Linked DNA regions of Drosophila melanogaster. The protein of the gene in region 1 purifies or fractionates together with the protein of each later gene. This does not show direct contact. Each region holds a gene or a part of one and is shown in the gene's direction. Other genes may lie near its edges. The genes, in order: Ns2, Noc3, RpL24-like and Nop56.

Region 1 (8,171 bases):
CATCTAGGCTGTGCGACTTCCGATGGCTGGGTGCAATAATCATATTGGCATGCAACTGGGATTGCGCTCCACCTCCAGGAATCACCTGTTGCTGACCGCCGGCGTAGACAGCTGGGGCCACGGAAGTAGTAGGTGGCGGCGGCGACGCGGCATTGTTGTACATACTGCGAAATGTAGCTGCATCTAATGATTGTCTCGCGCTGAATCAAAATCCAAGAGTCAGTTAAAAGTTAAAGCATTCAAATTAAGCCTAACGAACCAAATCAAGTGAGGACGTTCCTTGCTTCCTTTCACGCGTTGCGATCCGTACGAAACGCTGTTCGTAGAAGCGGAAGGCAGCTGCTTGGGTAGGAACTGCTGTTGTTGTGCCGCTGTCTTGGCTGCTGGAGTTTCATTGAGCGGTTGACTGTGCTGCAGCTGACTGGGGCACGAGCCGGATCTGAAGAGACAAAACAATTAAACTTTTATTCTGGTCTATAAAGATAACTTATTATTGCGGATCTAACCTTACATGTACTGGATGCAATTTAGCTGATGGGTTTGTTGTAAATTCCACATTTGTGCTAATAGCTTCTTTCGGAACTTGCTGCAAGGACGCTCCCGGAGATTTGGAGCGTGTTTTCATGTGAGTTAATCTCCTCATAAGTCCCACTGCTCCAGAGGAACTGCTGCTCGTAGTCGAAGCTGTGGCAGTTTCAGGCTTGGGCTCCGATTTTCTGCTGAACAGCGCCTCCACTGGTTTCGACCACACAGAGCAACTGGTGGTCGTGGCGGTAGCCTGCTGCTGACGAGGTGGCAAATCAGGCGGTTGCATGGACAGCATGTTGTTGAGTCGCACATCTGGTGCAACTGGATGCTGCTGTACTTGTGCCATCTGGGCGTCTGCATTTTGGGGAACATATTTCCATTGATGCATTAACTGCTGCTGGTCGCGGGCGCGCAGGGGCGTCAGGTAGTTGCCCGGGAACACTCCAGTGATGTCCAACCAGTTTTTTCCCTTGAACCAACCGTCCACACATCGTTCGGTCACAATGTAAACACAACCCTTTTTTAATTCCAGCTCATCCGTTTGGCGTGGTTTGTATGGGAACAGGGCTAAGTATCCCCAGGGTAAATTCGGTTGCATCTGCTGCTGAACAGTGGTCTTAAGTACACGCGATGTCTGTGGGGCTGACGTGGGTTTTAGAGCTGTTGAGCTGGAAACTTCCAAGCGGCTTAGTTCATGGGGCAGGCTAAGAATTTCAGCCGAATGGCGGTTGGTCTGCAGCAGACTTAATGGAGCTCCTCCTCCCAGCAAAGCATTTAGTGAGTGGCGTTTCTCCTTTGCTCCCTTGTCACGGAAACGAACAGACGCCGATCCGGAAGCTACTACATGTTGGGGGGTATTCGGCAGTGAGATTTGGTGATTCGGACTGCAGTTATTCGAGCTGGATGTGGAGCTTGAATTGCTGCTGCCCGGCGTGGAATTGGAGGATCCCGAACTGGATTCCGTGACCACCGTGGGATCAATAACTGGAACCGGAGGAAGGGCCCGCTGCCCCTGTTGCTTCGGTGGATGGCAGAATGGATGGGTGTGTAGCCCGCTGTCCAACAGCTTTTTGGCCGCTGCATTCAGCTCAACGAATGCTATTGGAAAGATTCCGATGGTCTGGCCAATTCGTCCTTCTGCCCAATTATGATCAACTCGGCGCATTACCTGTATTACAGTGCTTTTCTTAAATTCGAGGCATCCCTCCTCGTCGTTGGGCCCCATCTTAAAGTCATACATGGCAATGCACTGCGGCATGGGCAGCGGAACCGATACCTTGACGTAGTTGATGGGAAATGTGCCCTCCTGACCATTCGCTTGACCCACAAACCAGTTGTTGTCGATGCGATGCTTGATCAGTATCAGATCCCCTTTCTTGAACTTTAGATCGGTGGCTTCACCGGAGGCGAAGTCAAAGAGGGCATAGGCGTGGGGGAGTAGAAATCGACGTTGCTTGTGACGAGCCGGCTGATGAGATTGCTGATGTGACTGCAGCTGGAGTAGTTGGTTGTCAGGCGGGGCCACTGATTCCGCTGGCGGCTGAGGTTTGGCCCTTTCCGGCTGTGTTTCAGTCTCCTCTCCCTTTTCTTCTCCTTTGCCAGCTGCTGCATTTTGTTTCATGCCTGTGAGAATTAAAGAAAGGGTGTTTAAAGGTAGGTAAAGACCAGGTAAACGCCATATTCAATTGCCAAAGCCACTTTGCCGCACTCATAAAGTCAACCATTCTTTGATTTTGAGCGTAGGCTGTTGTGCTGTGCCAGTTTAGGTTGGTGTGGGCGTTAGCTGTTACCTTCTAAGATTCGCATCAGCAAGACGTTTGGAGGCAGCTCATCAATTTTGCAAGAGACCAGGATGCGGCACTCCGGGCATCGCAACTTGTGCTGACTGGCCACAATGTCCTGGCATAGAATGATGAAATCATTCGGTTATATGATATATATGTAGCAAACCCACAACAATTACTCACCTGCAAGCATTTGCGGCAGAAGGTGTGCTGGCATGGCAGCACCTTCGATGTGGTGTCCAGTCGCTCAAGACACACGGAGCACTCCAACAGGTCGTTTAACGTGTGCTCGTCCATCTTGCCAGTATGCAAAATCTCAAGGATGGTCACTATTTGAATTTCGTGCAGGGCCACATTCCAAAACACACACACATGCAGGTACTGGCTCACGCATACGCAATCCCAAGACGCGGTTGGGAAATAAATTTAGCTCAAATGCTAAAATCTACTATTATAATCGCTACTTGTCGTTCTTAATGCACTAAATCAGATTATATTATCGTTGCAATAGGCAGGATTCAATGTTTAATTTATTAAGTTTGCCAAGTGCAGCCAAAGCTCGTGGCCAAGCGGATACAAATGTACATAGGCACACGGATATAAAACCAGCTTGATACTTGAACACAGTGATGGTCATAAGTATATGCCCAATAGGAATAGTAGTTCCATAACATTTAACCAAAAAGAAAGAAGCTAAGAGAGTACTACATGTTTTTTAAATTCACTAAATTTGCAAAAAATTATTTAAATACCACATGTGCCCCGGTTATAGTTGCATTTAATAAATGCAAATAATTGTTAAGTTGTACCCAAACTGGTGTTTATTACTGTTGGGATTTTAGTGTGGCCAGTCCTCGTAGTCGATATTTTCTGAAGCGCATTTTAGTGTTGGATACTAAGTCCAGACAGTGCTGAAAAACGCACGATCCCTTTGTTTTTTTATTTCATATAAAAACACGTGTGGTTTGGTTTGATCGTGTTCAAATATACGATTTGATTTATAAACAAGGCACACGACATTCTTGAGACACCATGCCAAAGGTACGCAGCACCCCGGGTAAGCCCCGGACGCAGGGATTCAACCACTCAAACCACTCCATGAATCCGGAGCGCCCCAAAAGCGGTCTCAAGGGAGTCGCCCACCCCCGCACTAAGGGCACCATCAAGCGGCTTCAGATGTACCGTAACTTCAAGGCCAAGCGCGATCGCACTGGAAAGATCCTCACGCCCGCCCCCTTCCAGGTGAGATTTAGCTTTACAACATGTATCTTCGATAATTCTTATCTTTGGATTCATAAGATTTACCATCACTTATAGACATAGGAAGGATTTATTGCAACATGAATATCCAATAACCATTGTTTAGTTTTCAAAATTATCATCTACTTCACAAAGGTGCAATTAAAACGATCGACTCAAAATTAAAAGCATTAAAAGATAAAAAGATTTCATAAGTATATTTTGTTACGACTTATTATCCGTATAATAATTTAATTACAAATCTTATGTTTTCATTCTTGTTGTAAATATATAAAAGAAAAAATTAAATACAAGAGAGAAAATGCCGAATATGTTTTCCACAACCCATTTAATAATTCATACTAATCCTGGAAATGTGCTTTATTTTAGGGGCGCCTGCCTGCTGGAACAATGGCTCGAGTTGAGCCTACGCCCAAGTGGTTTAGCAATTCCCGCGTTATCTCGCAAACTGCTTTGCAAAAGTTCCAGGATGAGATTGGCAAGGCTGTCAAGGATCCCTACCAGGTGATCATGAAGCCATCCCAGTTACCGGTAACTTTACTGAACGAGGCAGCAAAATACAAAAGGGTTCATTTGCTGGACACCGAGAGCTTCGACAGTACCTTTGGGCCCAAAAAGCAGCGCAAGCGCGTCAGCCTAAAGGTTCGCGATCTGGAAGATTTAAGCAAGGCGGCCGATGACCAGGCCGATAAGTACGATTCAGCTAAGGATTTAGATCTAATCCGCGAGGATACTGGCGAAAAGAAGGCCGTCCGTGATTGGGTGTTCGGTGCGGGGCAGAGTAAACGCATCTGGAACGAGTTGCACAAGGTGGTCGATGCGTCCGATGTGCTGCTTCAGGTTCTTGATGCCCGCGATCCCATGGGCACGCGCTCGAAGTACATTGAGGAGTTCTTGCGCAAGGAAAAACCGCACAAACATCTATTTTTCATTCTGAACAAGGTTGATCTGGTACCGGTGTGGGTAACGCAGCGTTGGGTGGCTATTCTTAGTGCCGAATATCCTACTATTGCCTTCCATGCCTCCCTACAACATCCTTTTGGAAAAGGTAAGTTTATAAAGTAAAAATATCAATTATTTGTCATAAAAATCAATTATTTTTATAGGTGCGCTCATCAATCTATTCCGTCAGTTGGGCAAACTGCATTTGGACAAAAAACAGATCAGCGTGGGCTTCATTGGGTATCCCAACGTGGGTAAATCTTCTGTTATTAATGCGCTACGATCAAAAAAGGTTTGCAAGGTAGCACCAATTGCGGGGGAGACGAAAGTATGGCAGTATATAACGCTAATGAAACGCATCTTCTTGATCGATTGTCCTGGCGTGGTGTATCCCACCGCGGAGACTGACACCGAGAAAGTGTTGAAGGGTGTGGTGCGGGTGGAGCTCGTCACAAATCCTGAAGATTACGTAGACTCTCTGCTGAAACGCGTGCGTCCGGAGTACATTTCAAAGAACTACAAAATTGAACACTGGAACACATCCACGCACTTTTTAGAACAGTTGGCTCAAAAGACCGGCAAGTTGCTAAAAGGCGGTGAACCGGACGTTACGGTAACAGCCCGTATGGTGCTTAACGATTGGCAACGAGGCAAACTTCCTTTCTACGTTCCACCCGAAGGATTCGCAGTTCCCAAATCCCAGGAGGGTAAGGAGGAGGAAGTAGTTGCAGAGGATCCCAACGAAGATGCTAAATCCGAGGCACCTACATTCGTCAGTGAGTCTGTAAAGAAGGCGCGCGAGTTTAAGCAGATCCAAGATTTTCGAAAAATACGCGTGGGTCTTGAGTATGAGCAGGAAGATGTGAAGGATCTTGATCACATAGATCTAGAGCTTTTAGAGCAACAGAAGGCCGAGCGTGCGGCAAAGAAAAAGGCTCGCATCCACAACCTCGGTGAAGAGGACGAGGAGTCTAGCGATGGAGCGGACGAGTTTTACTCGGAGGACGAGTACAATGAGGACTTGCAACGCGTTGTGCACAAGAAGGCCAAGTCAAAGAAGCCACAACAGCTGGCCATCACATCGTCTGGTAAATTCCGAGTGGCCAAAATACAACCTGGTGATTCGGATGGTGCTGGCAGCTCTGACGACGATGGACCCAGCACTTCAAAGGCTCCTCGGTTGACTGCAAAGCAAAAACGCTCCCTGGAGCGCAGTCAGAAACGCAAGAAGATTGGCAGCAACTTTTACGAGACGACAAATGTTAAGAATCGCAATAGAAACAAAAAGAAGGACGCGTAAAATATTACGTTTACACTCTAGGCTATATTTTCTTGCAAGGAAAAACTACACTTTAAGAATCCAAATAAAAAGTTGATCCTACTCTGAGCACTGCTTCTTCTTGGGAATTTTGCGGCCACATAAGTCGGTTCGGCTGCACATACTGGGTTCCTCCTCATCGGTGCTGGCCTCCGAGTCACTAGACTCCGTGTAGGAGCCGATGCCCGGAAGTATAGCGATGCACTTTAGGGCCCCCTGGTTGTATTTGTTTGTAATTAATGTGGTGTTCGTTGTCTTATCAGCAGGGTCCTTGGTTGCTTCATTTGTCGCTGTCTGTTCGACCTCATTCTCAGTGATTTTGGCTACTTTACTGGTGGTGGGCAGTTCGCCGTTTTTTCTCTTGATGCCCTGGCCGAGCAGCGTCTTCTGAGTGCTACGCCCGACCGAAGCTCCCGCGGACTTCGCTGTGGTTTTTAGTTCAGCTTGCAGTTTCTGAGGGTTGCGGAAGTTCGGGTGATTGTAAAATCAATTGATTGTTGCTGTAACTTTACCCACCTTGTCTACACTCTCCTCCTGCAGCTTTTCCACACGATTGCGAAAATCCTTTAGTTCTAGCTCCTCGTCGCGCATTTGCTGGCGCTCCGCGTGTATTTTATGGGCATCGACCAATTCCAGAAACTGCACCTCATCATCGTCCAGACCACGGATGAGGTTTTCTATACGTATATTACGCATGTTAGGATGGCCAGATTGCATTGTTTATGGCATAGTCTTACTCAGCTTGTGGGCTTCCTCGAACTCCATGTCCTTCTTGTCCTTATTTTGTTTGAGGCGTTCATAAAGTGAGCGCCCATCGTAGGGTTCCTCAGGTCGTTCTAGTGGATCCTCCGGCTGGCGTACACGCTCCCATTCCTCCTGACGTCTCTGCCTTTGCTCGGTCGCCTCAGCTTCAGTCACAAAGCCCGAACTCATGCTGTACTTTCGTAAAATTGCTCTTTTTTACAGACCACAACTATTGCCAGTGTGGTGAACGTCGAATTAGCAGCTGTGCGATGATATAGAAGTGTTGGTAGTGGCTCGTGAAAATTTGAACTAGTGGCGGGAATTGCTAATGCTTCTGTGTCATTTTAAGTTAAACGTTGAAAAACTTTCCAAGTCCCACTAAAATGAACTATCCTTATAAACTCTTTTAATATGACAGCGCCTTACTCTACCAACTGGAACACTGGGGCGACCACGGGCCCTAAGCCTGGCTCGATTTATTTCGGCTATCTGCACAAAAACTGATTTTTGGGCGGTTGTCATTTCTCGCCATTTTCTGCCGGCTATTTTGGCCAAGGAAATCGGTTTCAGATGGCAAATGTCCCGCTTTTGAAGATTAATCCGAAAGTGGTCAAAGAAAATAAAGTAGGGATTAGCGGATGGGAACTTGCTTGGTCGCATTGTCCATGGTAAAGGCGAGACACTCATCCGGAACATTCTGAAATTTTGAAAATTCTTCCTCAGGTAAATCGAAACAAATACCCTTCACATGAAAATCACTGGTTACATGACTTTATTTCAGGAATATCTCAATAGGAAACATCTATATAGGATGGGGCTTTGCTAAATTCTCCAATAAAGAGCTACAGGATTAGCAAAATACACGATATTCATACACACATATGCAGGCGTTTTAGGTGAAGACGGTTTCTCGTATTTTGTTTATACATCCATAAATTCTCGGTTCGTCCGTTTCCAATGTATATACTTAGTTTATAGACATAATTGAGGTCAGCACACTTACAACGAACAGCAAATAGGTAATACGACTGATTCTGAACTTCGCCGTGATTGAGTATACATTATAGGATAATACTGTTAGGATTGGGTCCGGATCATGATGTATCCGAATCTACAGGATGCTGCAGGAGCTTTTCTCGCGAAACGGATTCACCTTCTGTGTGAAGCCGCTGAGCAGGCAGTCTTCCTCCTCGTGCTCCAACATGTACTTCATCATCAAGGAGCATGCCACCGAGACGGGCATACGCTCCATCTCCACTTCCCGCCGTAGCTGCAAGTTGATGGAGCGCTGCTGTTGCAAATTAGCAGCCATTATGTCCAGGACGGCTGTCTCCGCGAGACCTATGGTGGTTGCTGGGATGCTAATACTGCTGTAATATTGATTTGATTCAATTTGAGTTGTGCTTATTTCGATTTCCCCAATATTGTAAGCGAGAAATATGCGCTCTACTTCTCGATGAAATATTTTATTGGGGGCGCTGAAAAATCAATATTTATAAAAAGTGTGACCGCGTTGAGAATGGTGCTTTAGTTTTCCGACTTTTGCCAGCCGTTGGTGAAAGCTTCTTGTTGGTGTGGGGAAAGATTTCACAGTT
Region 2 (8,190 bases), on another chromosome or scaffold:
CAAACCCAACTGCAGCATCAGTGCAGTGCGTAGCGATCTCTTCTCCTCTGCAGGGTGTTGCAGTATAACAATCTGTGAGGACACCGCCTCAGGTGGATGCGGTAAAGCCGGGCACCAGCAAACAACCACGGGTCGTCTATAATAGAGTTCATGAAAATACTTTAATTTTTATGGCAGATTCCCAGCTTCACCACTCACTTGCATTTCTCGCACTTGTTGCGTCTGTTGGGCGGATCGGCGCTGATGCCCACGAGGTCCAGCCACGCGTCATCCTCCATACTTATAATTGATTAAATTAGAAAAATGCTAAGTTTATATTCCGCACGATAAGAAATCCGTAAGCAACAATTCGCAACTAGGTGGCAACGCACACAGCCACATGGCAAATATGACCGCCCTGTCTTCGAATCAGCTGTTTGGAGTGCAGTGAAATTGCGATTATGCGATGACAGAATCTTGAATTCCTTTAATCTATACACCAAGGAATCAAAATAAATATTAATTTATTAATACGTCAAGAAACTAAAATCGTAAAAATAATACGAAAGTGCCTAGTTTTTAAAGTTAAAGTTAATATAGAATCTTACAAATATGGTTAAAAATCACCGAACTTCATAAATTCGTTCCAGTATAAACATTCCACTTCAGCTTTGTGTTTTCTATTTAGATTTTGTATGTGAATTGAACTAGTTGTTAAGCTTAAAGTTGTGAAGTACATAGCATAATTTAAGAAAAATGCAGAGTATAGGATGGACGCTGATCATGAAACGCGGCTGCCTCTTTAGTTGCCGCAAGGAGACCCTGAACATAAACGGATCTCGATACACAATCCGCGAAAGGCTGGCGACGGGGTTTGTACCACATTTTTCCCACTATCTCCTCTGATATATCTAATCTGAGTGTTTAAACAGGGGCTTCAGTCTAATCGACCTTGGGGAAAACGCCTCCACGCGACGTAGCTATGCGATAAAGCGCATCACCTGCCACAGCATCGATGATCAGAATATAGCTCTGCGAGAAATCGAAAACTGTCGAAAAATTGACTCGGAAAACGTGATCCGGGTAGTGGATTACGAGCTGAAGGGCCAGGCGGACATAGTTATAAACACAACGAGCACCTTGTTCATTGTGCTTCCCTATTACAAGCACGGATCTCTTGCGGACCACCTTCAGCTGCGATCGCGGAAACAGGACCACATGCCCGAGGCCCAGATCCTGCAAATCTTTCTGGGCGTCTGCGAGGGATTGAAGGCCATCCACGAGGCAATGCCGGTGCCTCTGGCCCACCGAGATCTAAAAACGGCCAACATCTGCCTGTCGGACTCTTTTGAGCCAATTATTGTGGATCTCGGGTCAATGACAGAAGCCCGACTGCAGATTGTGGGCCAGACGGATGCTCAGCGCTTGCAGGACGAAGCCGAGGAGAGGAGCTCCATTGTCTACCGGGCTCCAGAGTTATTTACCGTGAAAACATATTGCACAATTGACGAGCGCACTGACATATGGGTAAAGCAGATCCAAGAGAGCGTTATTGAAGTTCTTCCTTAACATTTCCCTCTTTCAGAGTCTTGGCTGTGTGCTCTATGCAATGTGCTACTTTAATTCACCCTACGATCCCATCTACGAGCGAGGTGACAGCGTGGCTTTGGCTGTGCTCAGTGGGAACATAAACATTCCAGAGGATTCAATTTACACAGAGGTAATAAACCTTTTTTTTATATTGTAAAGGAAACTAATTCCAAATATTTGTCTAGGACATGCACGAATTAATTAAGTACATGCTGCGAACAGATCCAATGGAACGGCCATTCGTGTTTAGTGTTATCGAAAGGACCCACGATCTGATACAGAAACTGGAGGGTCGCTTGTAGCTCCCACTAACTGGATTACAACTCATTTATAGACATTCCTCCAAACCAGATACACCGCTTACTGTTTTTTGACTACTTATTGTAAAATATTTTAAACCTGCTGATTTTATGAAATTATGTGTAAGCAATCAAGCTAGTTTTTTTATTTTATTTTATTGATTGGAGCTAGTGTTCGTCACGAGTGAGTCCTGGACAGTTGGAGCCCAGATCTTCGGCGTCATCGTAATGGGTCCCACACCAATAGCAGAAGCAATAGGCTGTGCGCAGGTAGCCAGTGAGGAGTTCTAATTGCTCCGAGGGACTGTATGGTTCTTGCTTAGGTGGCACCTCGACTTCAGGATCGTCGGCGTCGCTCTGTGATTCATCTTCATCTTTTGGTTTAGGTGGCCAAAAGAAATCGAGATCTGGTTCTGTGATAGCGGACTTAAGATCCAACGATTCGCAGGTCTGCTGGCACCGTTTTATGTCATACTGTAATTTTCGCTCCTCCGCTTTATGGGTCGCGCGCCTCCTATAAGCCTCTGTACTGACTTCCTCGTCGCTTTTAATGCCGGCCTTGTTTAGGAGATGTGCCCTCCGCAACTTCTGCCGCTTGAGGGCCAACTCTGCAACGGCTGCCTCGCGCCCAAGTCCTCCACGACCGCTCTTTATAGTTATCCCCACGGGTTCAGTACGAGCATCCGAAGTTATGCCCAACCCAGAACCGGCTTTGTAGCCCATCTTGGCCAGTAGCTGGAATCCTTTGTTGTCGGCGGAAATTGGTTTGTTGAGGGACTGTTGAAGGCGAACATTGTCTACGTTCCCGGAAGAAGCTGCTGTCTCCCGTTGGCGCTTCTTCAGCTCATCTTTCTTGGACTCGACTTCAATCTGCCGCTTTCTGCCGCGATTGTGCACCAAACTCGGTCGGACATCTTGCAGACTAATGAGGGAAGGATGAGAGTTTTTCATAAGGTGGTTGGTTGTTAGTTAGGTGTGAGTGTAATCTCACCCAACCAGGAATTTGTCGGACATATAATCCTCCTCCTCGTCAGACATCTGTTTGTTTTGTTTACACTTCTCACTTAAGTGTGACCATTGCATAGTTATCTACAGCATTATTTCGATAATTTATAATAACAATGATATCTCTGCTATGAAGATTGAGTTCCGAAAATTGTATTTTATAGTATTGGTTCTGTTTAGTGATAAAAAAAACAGCCAGTTTGTGTCATTTACTTATTTCTTCAAAAACAAAGTATTTTAAGTAAGCGCATGTAAGATACTAAACAAAATACTATCCGCTTCTGAGCAGCTGTTGCGCTCCGCTGACGAGTGGACAGTTCCGTTGGCGTTCCATGTGCTCGTCCCATTCAGAAGGCAACATTTGTGAAAATTAACTATTAGTTGACTAAAACGGGTGCAATGGGAACTGTAAGTGGAAAGTAAAATTATTTAATGCTTATTCTAATCCAAATCATTGTAGAAAAAGGTCAAAATCAGCTCGGTCAAGCGGGCTGCTCACCTGAAGTCGAAAAAAACACCGCTTTCTAAGCAGCAGCAACAAAAACAGAAGCAAAAGCGCGACCAACTGAAATCGAAGCGCGAACAGGGTCAGAATATATTCTCCCAAAAGGCGAGAAAGCGGGACAACTTAGCACAGCGTAAAAAGCACAACAAATTGGCCTCCCTGGGCTTGGATCCGCTCGAGGAAGACAACGAGGATGGCGACGATGAGATGCTTGAAAACGTTGCGGACATGCTGGATGGCGATGATCTTGCCCTGCTCCAGGCTAACAAACGCAAGCGAAAGGCCAAGACGACCGGCGAGAATGATCCTGACCAAGGACAATCCATCGGCTTGGAAAGGGCCTATGCCTCTGACACGAAAAAAGAGCAGGACGCGCAAAAAATAAAGTTGGATTTGCTGCCAATCAAGTCCAGGGATGGTCAGATTATCACCCGTACGACAGAGGTGGATTACATACCTAAGCCCAAGCAGAAAAAGAAGAATGAAGAAGAAGAGGAGGATGATTCCGAGGAAGACGGTGATACGGAGTATGAGGACAGCGATGACGATGTGGTCAATGATGTCGAGGCCGCCACCGCCGCTCCCGTCCAAAAACTTATCTCTACCACGGATCTACTTATTGCCCGGCAGCAGGAGATCGAACGCCAGAAGTATCGCATTGGAATCATTTGTTCCGGGCTGCTCGAAAAGCCAGAGGATAAGATGCGCAACTTTCATGCTCTGTACGAACTCATGGACGAAATCAACCCAGCCAGTCGACAGGCCAACCTAATGGCCGTCAGAAAGCTGGCCATAATCTCTGTCACCGAGATATTCAAAGATATCTTGCCCGAGTATCGAGTGGGTCAGGTCGACACCAAGATGCAGACGCTTCGCAAGGCCACTCTTGATCGTGTAACCTTTGAAAACGCCTTGCTTCAACAGTTTAAAAAGTTCCTGCAGAAACTGGAACAGATCACAGCGCAAGTTAACAGGAGAGGTGGTCTAAGGACGCCTCAGACTGTGAAGTTGGCCACCGTGGCAGTACAGTGCATGTGTGACTTGCTTGTGGCACATCCATACTTTAACTACGTTCAAAACATTGCCCAGCTTCTGGTGTATATGCTGAATTGCAATTATGCAGAGATGCGAACGGCGGTCCATCAGTGCTTCCGCACAGTCTTTTCCAACGACAAACGGTTAGAAATGACTCTTTTTATAGTGCGACGCATCAATCACTTGATCAAAACGAAGCAGAACAATGTTCATGTGGAGTGCATCACCTGTCTGATGGGCCTTAAAATCAAGAACGTAAACCTAGATGCCGAAAAGGAGAATGAGCTAAAGCAAAAGAAGCTTGAGTCGCATCGTCAACGCTTACTAAGCTTGTCCAAGAAAGAGCGCAAAAGACGTAAGAAGCTCACCGAGGTTAACAGAGAACTAGAGGAAACCCGTGCCGAGGAAAACAAGCAAGCAAAGCATCAGAAGCTCACCGAGATCATAAAGATGGTGTTTACCATTTACTTCCGCGTGCTTAAGAACGATCCCACCTCCCGCGTGCTGAGCGCTATTCTAGAAGGATTGGCAGAGTGAGTGGTTATTGTAAATCTCTTTCCTGGAATTTTAAATATAGAGGATGATTTTTAGGTTTGCGCACGTCATTAATTTGGACTTCTTCTCCGATCTAATCGATGTGCTCAACCGCATTCTAGAGGACCAAGACGAGCTGGGCTACCGGGAGCGATTGCACTGTGTTCAGACCATATTCGTTATCCTTTCCGGCCAGGGTGAGGTGCTAAACATCGACCCCATCCGATTCTACCAGCACTTTTACCGAAATATGCTGGCGGTGCAGGCAGGCAAAAATCACGATGACTTCGCCATTATTTTGCGAACTTTGGATGAGGTGCTCGTAAAGCGTCGTCGCAATATGAGCCAGCAGCGTCTAATGGCCTTCATGAAACGCTTGCTTACTGGAAGTCTGCATCTGCTCCATAATGGCACCCTGGCCACGCTTGGCACAATAAAACAAACCTTCCAGCTCACTTCTGTGCTTGACAACCTATTGGATACAGACACTACGATAGGCTCTGGTCGTTACGATCCCGAACTGGACGATCCTGAGTACTGTAACGCAGCAAGCACAGCGCTGTATGAGCTTGCGCTTCTGGCACGTCACTATCATCCCACGGTGCGACGGATGGCCGTTCACATTGCTCATGGAGTGCCAGCAACGGGCGAGGGAGCTTTGCCCACGGAAATTGGCAAACTGTATGTAATAAGACGGCAACTACATATGTGACTCTAACAATTATTACTTTCCTTAGTACCTCCCACGAGCTGTTTACGCAATTCGACAGCACTCAGATGGCTTTCAATCCGACAATACCGCTGCCAAAAGCGGGTCAACCAAAACTAAAAAGGGGCAAACACTTATATATTCGCTCGGACTTCAAACAGGAGTACGGAAAACTGCTGCAGCAAGGAAAAGTTTCACAGACGAAGGATAAACAAACCTTACAAATTGATTTTTTCAGTGCACTTCAATAAAGAAAAATTTGAAGATTGAAGTAGAGTTATAATGACTGCGGAATAGTGTGGAAAGAAATGCAATTTTTAAACAATACCCAACTTGTTTCCCAATATTAAACATTCTTCCAAATACGTTCTCAGTTAAAGGAAGAGAATACCAAGTGTGATACCAGGATTTGATTAGCCAGATAATAATCGAACAAATTTGTTGTTAAATCAGAAAGGTGCGAGTTGGTTTTAAAACATGAAACCATTCATTTGCTTAGAACTTCTCTGTAATATATTTCAATTAATGGGATTTTTACAAGTTATTATGTTTGGAGCTCCTAACATTCTATATAGAGGCTAAGTCTAGAGTCACTAAGAGTAGTGTCATATAACCGGGTACAAGTCCCAGGGGTTCGCCAGAATTTTTCATTCGCTACCTATGCATTGGTGCCTCCTCGTTGTCGCTGTTGTCCAACGCTAGCTGGTGGCAGATACTCTCTATTCCCGCCCGACTGCTGTTGCCCGAATCCAGCCACTGAACTCTCGGGAAGAGCTCCGGCGGCAGTGGCCAGAAGCCCGACAGCAGCTCCCGATGGCGGTAATCGATTGGCTCCAGTGCTCGGGACAATGGCGGGACGAAGGACAGCCCCAGCGCCATACGGGCTTTGGGGCTGAGCGGTTGGGGTGGGCGTGGCTGAAGGATAGGACCCCCGGCCGGAGTTATATCCAGCAACCTGAGACACTCCGGTGGCTCGAAGTGTTCCAGTCGTGGCCAGAGGTGCCCCGAAGGCAGCCGAGGAAGAAGCGGCCGGACGGTAGACGTTGTTGGTATTCGATGTTCTCAGATTGGAGCCACTTCTCTCGGAGTAATCATAGATATAGGCATTGTTCGCATATAAGCTGGGCGCCGAAACGCAGTCGTACTGGTTCCACCACACACAGACTAATGTCTCCTGGCTGAAGACTGTGCCATTGGGACACAGGAAGGAGTAGGTCCGGTTGAGGGCACAGATATGGAACACCTGGCATTGGGCCTCTATGTCCGCATAATAGCCGGGTAGGGGCTGTTGCGCACAGTCAAAGTTGGTGCGCGGCACCTGGGCATAAATAGGATAATCCACTCCAGGAACACCCGGAATGGCCGAGTAGTCTCCATCGGAATCGTTGTAGTCCCCGCTGTCTCCCGTTCCACTAGCAACTCGGATTGGAGATCCACCGGGAGTACCTCCATACTGCGAAGCCTGCGGTCCATAGGGTCCACTGCGAGATGATGGGGTAGATAATCCGCCAGATGAAGTTCTTCTCGGTGGGTTAACGGGGTTTGTGGCTCCTACAATGGCGGGTGCTCCAAAAGCAGTGGTAGCCTGTCCACTTGGCGTAAATCCAACAGCGGGTGAGGGAAACAAGCCTGCTCCATATGCAGTAGGAGCCGGAGCGGGAGTAAGTGGCAGGGCTGGTGCTGTTGGATATGGTGCAGGTGTCAAGCGACCACCAGCTGTGGCTCCTCCTACATTGGCTACCTCGGGACGCCCATAGTTGTATCCACTTTGAGCCTATAAAAGCGCGGATTACAGTTAAGAAAAGAGAATCTCCTTATAGCTTACCTGGACTTGCAACTGGGCTAATCCGCCACTCCAGAGCAACACCAAAACTGGAATAAAGAGACGGGCCAACATTAACGCTTTCTAACCGTCCGTGGAATCTGGCGAAGATCTGCTCCGAGCTGTGGAACTGGCGACGCACCAAATCGAAATGAACGCCCTGGCAGCCATCGATGGCGATGGCAGCGAAGAGTTTCGCAGCCCCTATTAAGGCCAAGTACGTTGTGATTCTGGGAGCTGATAGCGCGGCTTAGATGGTTCTGCACCGCGATCTTTATTTTTCAGCTTCCTACTCCTACATCGGGGGCACAGTGGTCAAAAGCTTCACTATTGCATTTACAGACAATCGGGGCATTTATCAAATTAACTATACTTTAAGCATACAAACTAGAAACAATTTTTTTCGAAAATGTTTAGTGCACAATTGTAAATGCTGTTGCTTGATTCATTTAGAAGATTCAATATGTTTCTTAATTTTATATTTTGGTTAATCTCTTCATTGTGAATTGAGTTGCATACACTGTGCCAGTTGCTGAAATAACGCACTGCAACATCAATTGGCTTGCAAGAATTGCGGCAGCCGGTGGGCCAAAGGCAAGACGCATGCCTCGTAAATATGCAAGGCAGCAAAAACTTAGACAGACAGACGCCCCTACAAAGGAAGTGCTAATAGTGATCGGAATGATGGGCCGTACAGCCGATCGCTCGTCAC
Region 3 (6,359 bases), on another chromosome or scaffold:
TCACCGTGGGCGGCAGCCGCAGGCCAGTGGCCTTGCTCCAATTGAGCTCCCATCGGGGTCTATGTGCCTTATTCCGACTGTGCCATATGAAACAAATACCCCAGGATCTGCGGGAGCTTCTCGAGGACGATTCCGTGATCAAAGTGGGCGTGGCACCCCAGGAGGATGCCATGAAACTTTCGCACGACTATGGAGTAGGCGTGGCCAGCACACTGGATCTGCGCTTCCTCTGCGTAATGGCAGGCCACAAACCTGAGGGACTGGGAAAGCTCTCCAAAACTCACCTGAACTATACACTGGACAAGCACTGGCGCCTGGCCTGCTCCAACTGGGAGGCCAAGACTTTGGAGCCAAAACAGCTTGATTACGCTGCCAACGACGCACTTATGGCGGTGGCCATTTATCAAAAATTGTGCAGGGATCTGCAGCCAAAACACTTTTGGCAACGAAGGCAACTGGACGACAATAGCATGCACAACAAATTCGAACCCTTTCTCGACGTGGACTTCACGAAAGGCTTCACACTCAACCCGTCCGGCAGCGGAGTAACTCGTTCAAAGGGCTCCACCCAATCCAAAAGCAATAAATGGGTGCCCAAGAAGCAACCGTACCGGCAAATAGCTACCCGAACCAAAGACTTCTACGATAACTGCCTGCTGCAGGCGCCCGATGGCGAACTCCTGTGTACAATTGACAGGCGCAAGGCGTCCTGGTATCTCAATCAAAATCTGGGCACGCATATAAGCGAAGAGCCCTTCACTGTCCGCCTTAACTTCGAGCCAGCGGGTCGAGCGGTCGGAGATGTGGGGCGCTTCTATCAAACAATCAAGAAAAACCAGTGCGTGGTGTGTGGTGACCGGGATGCGTACATTCGGAAGAACGTGGTACCGCGGGAATACAGAAAGCATTTCCCATTGGTCATGAAATCTCACACCTCCGACGATGTGCTGCTCCTGTGCCCAACCTGCCACCAGCTAAGCAACATCTCGGATCTAAGGGTTCGCAGCAAACTGGCCGTGCAGTGCGAAGCTCCTTTCAAGCAGGAAGACGGATCTGTCAAGTACCATGATGATCCGCAGCTCAAGTAAGTATGCCATACATTTTCAGAACTAAGTTAAAAGTAAAAGTAAATTATACATTGCGAGGAATGTAGATTGCCTTATCAGTTATCTTACCAGACATATTTTGCCTCTTTTTTATCACCTAACTTTCCAAAACATACCCTGATATATGATAAAATTAATCTCCATAGAGTTCTCAATGAATCTGAATTGCATTTTATTATTTCCAGACGAGTCCAATCCGCTGGCAAGGCACTACTTCATCATGGCGCGAAAATACCCGCTGCAAAGAAGGCCGAAATGGAAAAGACTCTCCTCGATTACTACTCCGATCAAACGGACATCACAGAAGATCTCCTGCGGCAAGCAGCCAGCGTGGAATATCGCGTAGAAAACTCCGACTACTGTCAGCATGGCGAGCGGGTGGTGCAGCAATATCGCGATCATTTCGGCGGCCTGGTGGAGCTGGAGCGCTTATGGCGGCAGCACTTTCTGCACACAATGCAGCCCCGCTTTTTGCCCGAACTCTGGAATGTCAACCACAATGCCGATCGACTGGAAGTTCGCGCCAGCGAGGGTCGCATCGATAAAGCCGATCTTATGGTGGCCGGATTGGATGCGAAGATTAAAGAAACGTGATGCAGGGCTTTTCTGAGTTTGCCACCGGCTTTGTACGTTTTATATTTCAATTTTAATAAAAATAAACTAAAATTTTTTTTTGTGCTATGGTACAAGACGGGACAAGGAGTCACGGTTCATGAGGCAGATGAGCATCTCTGGACTAATCTAGGTGACTATAAATATAAAGCTTACCGTATGGGACAATAATACAATATGTACACGTTTAAAACTGAAGCACCTGGATCGAAGTAGAGTGGAGTGCGGTAGCTTGGAATGGCGAGCTAAATGAACTCGAATCCCTCATACTTGTAGTCCGTCTCGATCCTCGTTTCGGGCAGCAGTGTCTTGCCCGCAATATCGAAGGCTGTGATGAAGGTGGCCGTCTTGCCATTCAACTCCTCCGACTTAAGAGCCACGATTATTGAGTCATCGGTGCCGGGCAAGAACTTAAAGCTAGAGAAACCATGCGTGGGCGTTGTATTTTCAGGATCGAGCCGTACAGTCTCAACGTTGGTGAAGCTTTCGTCGGCGGAGACCAGGACATTGCAGCCCATGTGCTCGTCCTTGGTTTCGTTGTATCTTTCAAAGATAGATCGATGAGTTAAGGATTTAAAGGCTGACACGCTTACTCACTTCTCTTTCGAACACCGCCTAGGCAGGAAAAACCAGCGATTCCTTTCCTCTGACCAGGTTCCACTCTCGTGGATCATGTAGCCCGGCCAGGTTATTTGCATCGACTGCAGGCGCAACTGCTTGAAATTGTCCACCCAGTTGAGCGACCTCACCTCGCCGGACGGAGTGATGGCCTTTACGTACATGGGGTTATTGTTCTCGAAATCACCCGCACTTGTCGTCCACTCCTTGCCCATGGAGCCCACATACAGCGTTTGCTCTTTCACTGTGGCCCATTCGGCCTTGAAGCCCTTGGCACTGTGTCCGTCTCCATCGAGCAGGATCACCCAGGGAATGGGCTTGTCATTCACAATCTCGTATATCAAACCCGTTCGGTCGTCGAAGGTGAGCAGGCGCCCGTTGAAGGTGACTAGCTCAGATAGCTCCATTCCGCGGCCCTTAAGGGCAAATGCTGATTCCAGGACTATCGGCGCCCCGTCATCCCAGCTAATCTGGATCTCTGACCTGGCCACCGTGTAGGTAAGGTAGCCCTTCTTCAGGTAGCTACGCCACGTGCTGCTCCCATCGCCCTTGCTCACCTTGGAACTGGTGTCCAGATCGGCAATCATGGCTATCCGGTAGTTTATCACACCGCCACGCAGCACCATGGGTGACGTGAGCGGATATGTGGCATTGTAGGCCTGGACCACTGGACCACCATTGTCCAGACTCCGGGCATCCGTGTAACTGCGGCGCAGCCAGTAGCCGTCGGAGGAGGAGTGCGATCCCTGGCGCGCAAAGTAGAAGAGTAGGACGAGTACGAAGGCGCAAACAATCAGAAGGGCGAAGTGATAGTTAAAGCGCACCGTCCGATTCCCAATCCGGTACGTGGGCGTCCGCAGGGCCGATCGCCAGTCGCGCATGTACATGGCGCGCGGCGAGTGTTCTGCGTGTTCCCGGTACGCGAAGGCAGGGCTCTGCATCTGGTCGCACGTCAGCAAGATCTCGTTCGCGGTGATGTGTCCGATTTTCTTGGTCTGCTGCTCTGTTTGTTTGGATGCTGGCGGTGTGACCAGCGCATGAGCGGGCGATCAGCTGGCGCAACAGCTGGTGCAAACTGGCGAGCGCATGCGATGTTATCGAGAAACAGGTGCAACAATTCAGTTTAAGTTAATGTAAACATACTGGGAAAAACATGATTTGGACAAAGACCGAAGGTAATTGAAATTATCAAAACAATACAACTGTCAACTGGTATCGCAGTCACTTGCAATTTATACGTATTTCTTGCTTGGATATTTTTTGTCTACATCTAGCTATTTTCCATGTTAGCCAGTGTTATCGATAAGCAGTGACTGGTCGCACTGCTGACTGCCGATACATTTTCATATTTCTTCTTCTTCAGCAGCACACGTGCTAGCAGCTTGCGCATTTGTTTTGTTTTCGTAATTTATCCGTCGTAAATTGCGAAAATGCGCATTCAAACGTGCTATTTTTGCTCTAGCAAAATATACCCGGGCCACGGGGTGCAATTCGTGCGAAATGACTGCAAGGTAAGAACGATTTGCTTTCCTGTTTACATGTGCTCCGATGTTTATATTGCTTCGCCATATTCCGTCGCAGGTCTTCAAGTTCTGCCGAGGCAAGTGTCACAAGGCCTTTAAGCGCAAGAAGAATCCCCGCAAGGTAGGATGGACGAAGGCGTACCGCAAGGCCGCCGGCAAGGAGCTGGCCATCGATCCCAGTTTCGAGTTCGAGAAGCGCCGCAACGTGCCCATGAAATACAGCCGCGAGACCTGGCAGAAGGGTCTGGAGGCCATCAAGCGGGTGACGGAGATTAAGGAGAAACGCACCAGCCACTTTGTCATGGAGCGACTGCGCAAGGGTCGCCAGGTCGAGATTCAGATGGACGTCAAGGATGTGCAGCGCAACATGTCCCTGATTCGCTCCCCAGCCGCAGGGCTGAAGCAACGACGTGCCCAGGAGGCGGCAGAGGAGGCCGCCCTCATGGAGGAGGATCTGCCCGAGGAGAAGATCACCTACGTGGATGCACGCGAACTCGAGAAGAAACTGGAGGAGGGAATGGGGGTCGAGGATCTCGAGATGTTAGAAGCCTAAGGACGAGTACGCTGATTTTTTCTTAGTTTAAGTTGCTGCTAAAAAATACATTATATAAAAACCCCGTGGTACATAAATGTTGTCTTTGGTTGTTATATATTTTCAAATCATTTGTCCACTTCTCTGTCAGTATCCTTTTGTTCGGGGGACTCCAAATTAATGGTTACGGGTCCATCGTTTTCTATGTGCACTTGCATGTATGCTCCAAATTTGCCATCTATTATAGTAAGTGAGATTAAAACATGACCAGCTGGAGTGTTCCTATCACTCACCTTTAATCTTGGTGCTATCGTAGGATTGACCTAGGCGATCCAAAAATTGATTGTACAACTCCTGCGCCTCCTCGCCCTTCATGGCAGCCAAAAAATCCGGTTTGTTGCCCTTAAGGCGGTGATACAGTGTAAACTGCGAGACGCACAGCAGTTCTAGGTTCAGATCCTTCACGGACTTTTGCCAACGCTTGCCCTCCTCCTCGAATAAACGGAGAGCCAAGATTTTCCGGACACTTGAATGGTAAGCTGTGTTAGGTGGTCTAAACCTAAGGTGGTTATCACCAGAGTGGAATTTACCTACAGATACTCAACATCCTTGGCGGTGTCGCTGGCCTTGATTCCCACCAGCACGCACAGGCCTGGTCCAATGGAGGACACCAGCTCATCCAACACTAGGGGAGCAGTATAAAATTATATGATAGATGGTAACTATTTGATCCTGCATACCCGTCACTTTGGCAGCCTTAACCCTTTGTATAACCGCACGCATTTCTTAATTATTCTATTTATTTACCACTTATTTAGATCTTTGTCAGTGCTGGTAAACTTGACACGAGCAGTGTTGACCGTCGCCCCAAGAATTCAAAAATATCGCGCATTTTCTGGGTAATAAACATATAACAGTATAATATAAAAATAACATAATAAATATAAAATACAGTACAATCAATAATATAATTTGGTTACATGCTGGGAGAGTCTTTTTGAGCTGGAGGGTGGAATACTTGCTGGCCCTTTGGAAAGATTAAAATTGATCTACATATATGTTAAATTCTAAAAACAAATTATCTATGCTAGCTCAGTTACAAAACAACTTGGGCCTTCACTAGGTGAATAATCAAAAGATGAATTCCAATTCCGAATAATATATATTCATCTAAATCTCAAAATTGAGAATTTGCTTAGATATGTTATTGTCTTTTAGAATGCAGGAGTTTTCAAAGCTACAAATTCATCATTTGGTATTTCTCACAGCTAGTAAATCCCAGAAACAAGGGGTTACTAATGTGTTATTGCTCGAGGGTTGGGATATCACAGAGGCGTTGGCGCGGCGCTTAGCTGGAGCTTCATATCGCACAGTTTCTTGATGTGAACCTGACCGGTAAGCTCCGCCTGCCGCAGGATTCGCCGGATATCCGCCAATCGATCGTGCTTGTTGGCCAGCAGATAGGCGGATTTAAGCTGCCCAATGTAGATGTAGGAGGAGACTCGTAGCTCCACGCTGCCGATGCGTTTGATCAACCGATCCAGCATCTGTTTCGTCTCCGGCGCACTGCTGTGCACAGCAGCATTAATGGCAATCGAGAGTATTTCATCGGACTCCGTGGAAATGTCTCCGCCGTTGTTGCTTCCTATGCAGTCCAGCAGACGCTCTACCTCACCCAAGCGCTGATTTCTCGACAGGTACTTAGCAGTGGCTCCAAACACCTTAAGTGCAGCCAGCTTGAAGTCCTGCATAATGCTAAAAATAAAACAATTATAGCTGACATTGTCGTCTTGATTTTATCTTTTTGCTTACCCGTAAGCCAGGCCAAAACCTTCGTCTATGTTCTTACCGCACATGAGGATCAGAATGCAAATTTGTATCCGATCTGCGGCGCCTTCGAACAGAGTAGGTAGAGTTCCTCGACTGGACTCTAGTCGAATCTTTGCGGAGGTTAAGTTTGGTATTAGT
Region 4 (7,532 bases), on another chromosome or scaffold:
TACTCAAGCTGGGCGTCTTCCTACCCATCGGTCCGGATGCCGAACAAAGGATGGTGGTGGTCATACGCACAGCAGCACACGATCCCAAGCTCCACAGCCAGAACAATGTTTTTAAAGTGAGTCATGGAAATATGTACACAGGAAAAAATAAAATACAACGATTTTATGAAATGTCTTAAACTATATGTAGCTAACAAATTAAACATAGTCATGAAGGCGAACTTTTCGTGCTTTAATAAAAAATAACTTAACATTTTAATAATATGAAATACGATAAGTTTCGTCCACATTTTTTCCTCCATATACTTATATCTCCAACCTTTGTTTCCCAGACCAGCAAAATGATATTGGACCTGCTGCTAAAGCTCGATCCGGAGACCTGTGCCCGCGGAATGGTGGCTATTCTGGATATGCAGGGCGTTCAACTGGGGCACGCTCTTCAAATGAATCCGAAGCTCATCAAGAGATCCGTGGAAAGCTGGACCGCATATCCATGTCAGCCCAAGCTATTGGAATTCACCAACGCCCCGCGCCATGTGAACTTCTTTTTGAACACCTTTAGGTGGGTTGTATGTTCTAAGTCAAATTAGAATTTACTATATATTATCATTTTTTTTAGAATATTCATGACGCCCAAGATAAGATCGCGACTTTTCGTGCGTCGTGAAGGAACATCCGTGAGCTGCGATCAGTTGCCAAAGGAACTCGGTGGTCAGGGATTAAGCTATATGGAGCTGTCTGTGAAGTGGAAGCAGTTGGTCGAGGAGAACGCCGATTTCTATGTGGAACAAGACAAATACAAAAGCAAGCTCAAGTGATTGGGGTTAGTGTGGCGGCAGTGATAACAAGGCGATTAGCCGAATGTTATAGATTAGTCGAAAACATTTACAATGCGCAAATGCACAAAGGCGCATATCAGTTGTCATATTTTATGGAAGGGTACTACAAATACTCCCTAATTCCCCACTTAACCATATTTGTATATATTATAAGTCATTACGTTAAACCTTTTTAAAAAAGGTTATTTTCGTTGTGTTAATCATCAATGTTATCTTTTTTTTTTTGCTTAATAAAGTGTCAATACACGATAAACCAAACAAAAAAGAGACGAGTTTATTCATAATATTCTCTTTATTAGTATAAAACGTATCAAAAATGTTTATCAAGTCTACAATTATTATCAGTTATTGGGTGCTGCCGACCGTCGCCTCAAATTGCTGGGGTTTGCATTACAAAATCGCTTGATCCGCTGAACCGCGAGCAATTAGCGATAGTTTAATAGTAATAAATACATAGAATACATACAGAAAGAAAAACGATAAACAAGGAAACACGCATAGTTTGTGAACGTAATATTTGTTGTTTCTCGAAAGCGGGAGGTGTTAGTTATAAAAGGCGTGCTGTTGCTTTTGCTGCTTTTGTTTTCTCCTTTACATATACATATAAATATGATTTATACGTTTTTACGTTTCACATATAAAAATATAGTAGTTGCTCTGGATCAGCAATTAGCCCGCTATAGTTCGGTTCACATTGCCAATTGGCGGTTTTTTGTTTTCTTTTGTTTAGTGGGAGGCACCCCATGAAGCAATGAACGAAACATAAAAGTATTGGCGGTAACTAACTAAAGCGTAATACACGAGTCTGCCAGAGCGCTTTCATCACAAGTCCAACTGCAAGCGCAGACCACCACCACCGCCGCCGGAATCGCGAAAATTCGCGGCTCCATGCAGTGATTCCTATATCTGCCGCTCATCCTTAGCCGTCAGCTTGTCGATGAGCTCCTGCAGCGGGGCCAGTTCGCGCCGCTCAATCAGATTGAACTCCTGCACGAAGAAGATGAAGTGCTTGAAGGACGTGTTGAGATGGGCCTCCTCGCCAAGCGTCACCACCTCTGTGAAGTGCTGGTGGTAGATGTGCGCATACACGCGGAACAGACGCTTCAGTATGGTCTTGGCGGAGGAGTGAAAGTTCTTTGGAAACGGCACGCCGATCTTGGAGGGAAACAGGGTCTCGTCGTCCAGCTGATCCTGCACCCAAGTCATCAGATAGTCAATATACTTGGGCGCGCTGCACTTGATGGGCTTCTTTACGGTCAAACCGTCGGCCCAGTGGTACTCGTATTTCGGACCAGCCGACATGATGCCACAGGTCTCCTCGGTGCAGAACTCGGTGATGGTGCCGTACAGCATGTTGATCTGGTTGAAAAAGTCCACGGCTGCGAAGGAGTGGCAATAAGAATTGGTTATCTTTCGCTAGTTACACTATACTAGACTCACTGTTAACGGCCACCCACTCGTTGAGATCCTCGCCATCTGGAAGGGCCACTGCATTGCGCAGGTTTCCCGATCCCAGCGTGGCTGCCGCATGCTTCATGAGATCATATTGGTGTGTGCCTTCCGGGATGTTCTTCTTGGGCTTGAAGGTCTTGCTGGAACGGGAACCGCTGTGGAAAGAGAAAGGCAATAAGTCGCGGCCCCAAACAGCCCCACTCAGTAAAACATAATACAGTAAAGATTCTATAGATTGAAACGTAAGCGACTTCGTTCAATTTACACTCCCTAAAAGAAATATTTCCTTTTTTTTTCTTTTTTTAAATTCACTGAGGAAGAATGCAAGATATCTTTGAAAAGCTATTTTTTAAACACCGCAGACAAAATTAGGGAAGTTCCACTGTACAAGAGGTTGGGGATATCACCCCAAAAAGGGCAAACAAAGCCGGAAAGTCAGATGTGGGGCGGGGTGATCCAAGCTTTCTTTGTGCTCGAAAGGATTGCAGTTGCACTACGTTTTGCCCCCCTGAGAACTTACAACAAGAAGTCCATGGCATGCAATTGCTGTGCTTCGCCTTTCACTGAGCCTCCAATGGAATTTTCCTATGCGTAGACTTTTCCGGCGAGTGCCACACCGCTTTTTCGGCTCTTCTGTGTCGTGTCAGCAGCTTTATTCCGCCGATTTTTACACAATTAGCGCCGAATAATAATTAAAGAAAAGTGACTGGAATTCGCAGCAGGTTTCTTTCTCTGGTCAATTGGGAAATGACAATGATGGTATCTGTATCTGGCCTCCAGTTGGTCGGTCTGTTAACTAGTGCCGTAGCCCAACAGCTGATGCGAGCGGTTCCAGGAAGTGTGCCGAGCCAACTAGTTAATTCTGTTGTGTTTATAAACGCAAAAAATTTGTTATAAATAAAAATAAAATTGCTTTCACACACAGAGACAGTTGATGAAAGTGCGAGAGGGACAACGCGACAGGTTATCAGGCTATCAACGTGGCCAGCCTGTTAAAATAATTCAGTACGGTACTGCGGTATTTTATCTGGTATGTCCCTAACATTTCGCAATCGGCTTGCTATGGTCACACTTGAAGTAAGCACGTGGGAAAACAACTGTAGCAGCATCGTGGGTGTATAAAAATATATATTTCTTAATTAAATCGGCATATATTCGGCATAGACATGGTAAATATTTCAGTGCAATAATCATATATTTGAATTTTCTGCGGGTTGCCCGTGAAATGAAAATGTTTTCCCTGCGAAAACTAACCTACACACGCGGAGCACCCAAAACCACATGTGTCTGCCACCGCATCAGACTGATAATTTTTCATTTCCCCGCCTCCAGTCGAACCTGTATGTGCTGTACGAGCATGCGGCGGGCTTCTCGCTCTTCTCCGTCAAGGAGTTCGAAGAGGTGTCCATGTTCCTGCCCCAGGTGGAGTCCTCGGTGACGGACCTCGCCAAGTTCAACTCAATTGTTAAGCTGGCTGGATTTGCACCTTTCAAGACGGCCATTGCCGCACTGGAAAACATCAATGCCATATCCGAGGGCATAGTGCCGCAGGATCTGCTCTCCTTCTTGGATGACTTCTTTGCCAAGCTGAAGAAGAAGAAGTGCACCCTGGGTATTGCGGATGCCAAGCTGGGAGCTGCAATCACCGAGGCCATTGGCGTCCAGTGCAGTCACTTTGGAGTGGTTCCTGAGATTCTGCGCGGCGTGCGATTCCACTTCGCTAAGCTGGTCAAGGGTAAGCTACCTGCTTTGCAAGGAAAATCCTCTTTGTCTAACTAAAGCCTCCTCCATCCGATGCAGGATTCACCGACAAGTCCGCTGGCGTTGCTCAGCTGGGTCTGGGCCACAGCTACTCGCGTGCCAAGGTCAAGTTCAATGTTCATCGTTCCGACAACATGATCATCCAGTCGATTGCTTTGCTGGATCAGTTGGATAAGGACGTAAATACCTTCTCTATGCGGATACGCGAGTGGTACTCGTATCACTTCCCAGAACTGGTCAAAATCGTTCCCGACAATTACATGTTCGCCAAGGCGGCCAAGTTCATCAAGGATCGCAAGAACCTCACGCAAGACCAGCTGGAGGATCTTGAGAAGATCGTCATGGACTCCGCCAAGGCTCAGGCTATCATTGATGCCGCCAAGATGTCCATGGGCATGGACATCTCCATTGTTGATCTGATGAACATTGAGCTGTTCGCAGAGCGCGTTGTCAAGCTTTCCGAGTACCGAAAGAAACTGTCTACCTACTTGCACAACAAGATGAACTTGGTGGCACCCAATCTGCAGTCTTTGATTGGCGACCAGGTCGGTGCCCGCCTGATATCGCATGCCGGCAGCTTGACTAATCTGGCCAAGTACCCAGCATCTACAGTACAAATCCTGGGTGCCGAGAAGGCGCTCTTCCGTGCTCTAAAGACCCGCTCCAATACGCCCAAGTATGGTCTTATCTATCACTCCTCGTTCATTGGTCGAGCTGGCCTGAAGAACAAGGGTCGCATCTCTCGATTCCTGGCCAACAAGTGCTCCATCGCGTCGCGTATCGATTGCTTCCTGGAACAGCCGACTAGCGTGTTTGGCGAAACTCTTAAGCAACAGGTCGAAGATCGCCTCAAGTTCTACGAGTCCGGCGATGTGCCGCGCAAGAACATTGAGGTAATGAAGGAGGCCATCGAGGCAGCTGGTCAAGAGGCGGCAATCACTGTACAGTCCGAGAAAAAGAAGAAAAAGAAGAAGCGAGCGGCTGAAGACGAGGGCGAGACGAATGGCGCCAGTAATGGAAACGGAGCAGCCGCCGAGGCGGAAAATGGCAATGGCAACGATGATGGAGAGCCAAAGAAGAAGAAGAAAAAGAAGAACAAAAACAAGGAAGCGGTGGAGGCGTAAATGTCTCTGTTACATTCAACTTAGTTTAAGTCCACACTATTATCTTTTACTTACATGCTTCTTTTGTATTTCCTTTGACCCCCTGATGGATCGCATTTCAAATAATAATAAACATATACTTTGGAGGGTATTCCCACCGGAATTTTATGAGTTTGCGTTTTAAATCAAGAGACTATCATAATTATTGGTTTCAATTGTTTTATATTTCATATTTGCTTTACATTCAATTTATATACAGACACATCGTAACGTTAACTATTGCTAAAATTGTTTGATTTTATTACGTGTAGTATTTTGTTTAACAATTTCAATGTTGGATCGCTCAGCCGTCCGTCCGCGCGTTGTGCTAACGAATCCGTTTAGTACAACCATTATTCAACTACTCTGTGTATTGCATTTGATGACGACTTTCAAATTCCGAGTGGACGATCAGGACGGATGTGGAATTAATGGGTTTGATCCGGAAAATTGCATCGGGGGTAAATTGTTTAACAACGAATTTAGAAACAAATTGCACGTGTCGCAAACTTTGTACAGCAAGGGGAAAGGAAAACGTAAATAATATATAGAACTGACAAGTTTAGCGATCGTGGAAATGTGAATGTGAGAGTGGACATTTTGGGTAGTAGGTTGGTTGGGTTAAATTAGGCTAAAAAATATCATTGAAACAAGTCGAATGCCGACGAGCTATTATTGTTATTATTGCTGTGATTCTGCTGCTGCTGCTGGAAAGCTCCAAAGTTGGCAAATGCTGATTGGTTTTGTGGAATGCTTTGCTGCGGTGCCGGAGCCCCAAAAATGTTCGGACTGGTCATTGGCGACAGTCCAGGGAATCCGCCACCCGTCTGCACATTCAGTGGCGCCTTTGCCGGACTGTTGGTCTTCAGGGCATTCATCGAAGGGGCCGGGGCACTGGGCTTGCCCGACTTGCTCATCAGCAGATTGTCCAGGTCAATGTTCATCTTGCCGCCCTTCAGGTCGCCCGACCAGGTGGCGCCCACAGCGGTAGACTGGACACTGGCAGCGGCGGGGACTGCGCCTCCGTTGGTATTATTGTTATTATTGGTCACCGACATGGGCTGGAGCAGATTATTGCCCGTGACGGCGGGAATGGGAGGCATCATATTGTCTGGAAAAAAACAAATGCAATAATAATGTTATTCGGGGTTTCAGTTTTCGTTTTTATTTTGGTTTCACAAAAAGCTGTTTTAAATATGTGGCTTCGATAGAATTGCGAATGCGGCTACTTGGTGATCGGCTAATGAGGTGGTCACTACTCGGAAGCGTTTGCGCAGCAAATCAAGTGCAATTACAGAAGGAAAGAATAGGTTCGTATCTGTTATGTGGCTATTGCCGTTTTGGATTGGTTTACCTAATGAGTCCGTGGCTGCGGAGGCCGCACAATGCCCGGAATATTGAGAAATGCTTTTCAATTCATCATTATTAAGTACATATGTATGTATATATTTGAGAAATAATATTGGATCCAATGTGTGTGTGGTTTGCAATACAAATATGCAGTAGGAGAAAAACAAATAAACAAAAGAAAGTAGTATAAATGAAGTAAATCCATATATGTATACCTGGAATACAATGGCTTCGAGGGCGATAGATATTTAAAAAATAATTCCTAGAACTGTTGTCTTATTTCTAGCAAATACCTAACTCTCGAGTCTATTATTAGTTTATACAATTATAAGAAAATGTTTAAGGACACAGCGTTAACGTTTGTATGAGAATTGATGTAAAGTATGAAGTAATCTTGTATTTAATCATATATATCATATATTAATTCGGAAATATTTCAGTAAAAAATTGTTCGTTTTTCCGTAACAAGAAATATGCTTAGTGTATTTTAAATACAGTTTTAATATTTTAAATCTCTTAAAACTCTATAGGCTGCTTTCAAAACTTTTTGATGGCCAAGTTAGGCAGCCTGTTCCATGGCGGCTGTATCAAAGAGTTTGTAGCAGGTGTCCAAAATGCTTTGGGCCAGTTCACGACACTCCTCCGAAGTCTCTCCGCCCACCAATGGCGATCTTATGAAGTCATTCAGCCAGCGCTGCAGTTCGTTCAATGACTCCGCAAAGTGCTGGGCCAGCACATGAGCTGGTGTGGTTACCAAGGCGATTCCTATTAGCTGCAATGTGGCCGCTCGGACGCGGGCCTCGGCATTGAAACGCACAAAGGCGCATAGGTCAAAGATCTCGCGGGTCATCGCTGGCAACAGTGGACAGTTCTGGGAGCACATAACCAACACGGACATGGTGTTTAGCAGGTTAACAAGCAACTGGGTGTCGATGTCGTGAGAAATATTTTCGTATTTTACGTAAAGCATCTGACGGGTGCGCTGTCC

The links.
Region 2: the proteins of Ns2 (region 1) and Noc3 purify together in Drosophila melanogaster (affinity purification with mass spectrometry, with the first as the bait; one large-scale study listed by BioGRID). This does not show direct contact.
Region 3: the proteins of Ns2 (region 1) and RpL24-like purify together in Drosophila melanogaster (affinity purification with mass spectrometry, with the first as the bait; one large-scale study listed by BioGRID). This does not show direct contact.
Region 4: the proteins of Ns2 (region 1) and Nop56 purify together in Drosophila melanogaster (affinity purification with mass spectrometry, with the first as the bait; one large-scale study listed by BioGRID). This does not show direct contact.

Annotation. Positions count from the first base shown.
Region 1 is NT_033778.4:17,563,502-17,571,672, reverse strand, and holds Ns2 (nucleostemin 2), read left to right. Parts: upstream 1-3,216; 5' UTR 3,217-3,344; coding exon 3,345-3,554; intron 3,555-3,941; coding exon 3,942-4,620; intron 4,621-4,678; coding exon 4,679-5,814; 3' UTR 5,815-5,892; downstream 5,893-8,171. Other genes in the region: POSH (plenty of SH3s), read right to left, coding at 1-200, 260-439, 507-2,151, 2,319-2,427, 2,496-2,609; CG14480 (uncharacterized protein), read right to left, coding at 5,893-6,285, 6,349-6,509, 6,570-6,765; CG46428 (uncharacterized protein), read right to left, coding at 6,955-7,236; CG43324 (uncharacterized protein), read right to left, coding at 7,688-7,888.
Region 2 is NT_033777.3:7,241,966-7,250,155, reverse strand, and holds Noc3 (nucleolar complex protein 3), read left to right. Parts: upstream 1-3,186; 5' UTR 3,187-3,272; coding exon 3,273-3,281; intron 3,282-3,333; coding exon 3,334-4,946; intron 4,947-5,004; coding exon 5,005-5,628; intron 5,629-5,684; coding exon 5,685-5,907; 3' UTR 5,908-5,924; downstream 5,925-8,190. Other genes in the region: Dtwd2 (DTW domain containing 2), read right to left, coding at 1-136, 199-278; CG1227 (uncharacterized protein), read left to right, coding at 736-851, 912-1,506, 1,565-1,699, 1,755-1,871; CG10053 (uncharacterized protein), read right to left, coding at 2,037-2,790, 2,860-2,906; CG14607 (uncharacterized protein), read right to left, coding at 6,315-7,430, 7,482-7,528.
Region 3 is NT_033777.3:11,428,897-11,435,255, reverse strand, and holds RpL24-like (ribosomal protein L24-like), read left to right. Parts: upstream 1-3,673; 5' UTR 3,674-3,766; coding exon 3,767-3,847; intron 3,848-3,917; coding exon 3,918-4,412; 3' UTR 4,413-4,516; downstream 4,517-6,359. Other genes in the region: Exd2 (exonuclease 3'-5' domain-containing 2), read left to right, coding at 1-1,084, 1,292-1,700; CG5276 (uncharacterized protein), read right to left, coding at 1,964-2,261, 2,316-3,277; Dtd (D-aminoacyl-tRNA deacylase), read right to left, coding at 4,520-4,629, 4,685-4,917, 4,986-5,076, 5,132-5,174; Sptz (spastizin), read right to left, coding at 5,717-6,146, 6,204-6,331. UniProt on the Drosophila melanogaster protein: Involved in the biogenesis of the 60S ribosomal subunit. Ensures the docking of NOG1 to pre-60S particles.
Region 4 is NT_033777.3:22,416,882-22,424,413, reverse strand, and holds Nop56 (Nop56), read left to right. Parts: upstream 1-3,345; 5' UTR 3,346-3,457; coding exon 3,458-3,460; intron 3,461-3,623; coding exon 3,624-4,026; intron 4,027-4,091; coding exon 4,092-5,176; 3' UTR 5,177-5,319; downstream 5,320-7,532. Other genes in the region: pinta (prolonged depolarization afterpotential (PDA) is not apparent), read left to right, coding at 1-116, 333-562, 620-818; mats (mob as tumor suppressor), read right to left, coding at 1,740-2,218, 2,280-2,446, 2,812-2,825; lqfR (liquid facets-Related), read right to left, coding at 7,104-7,532.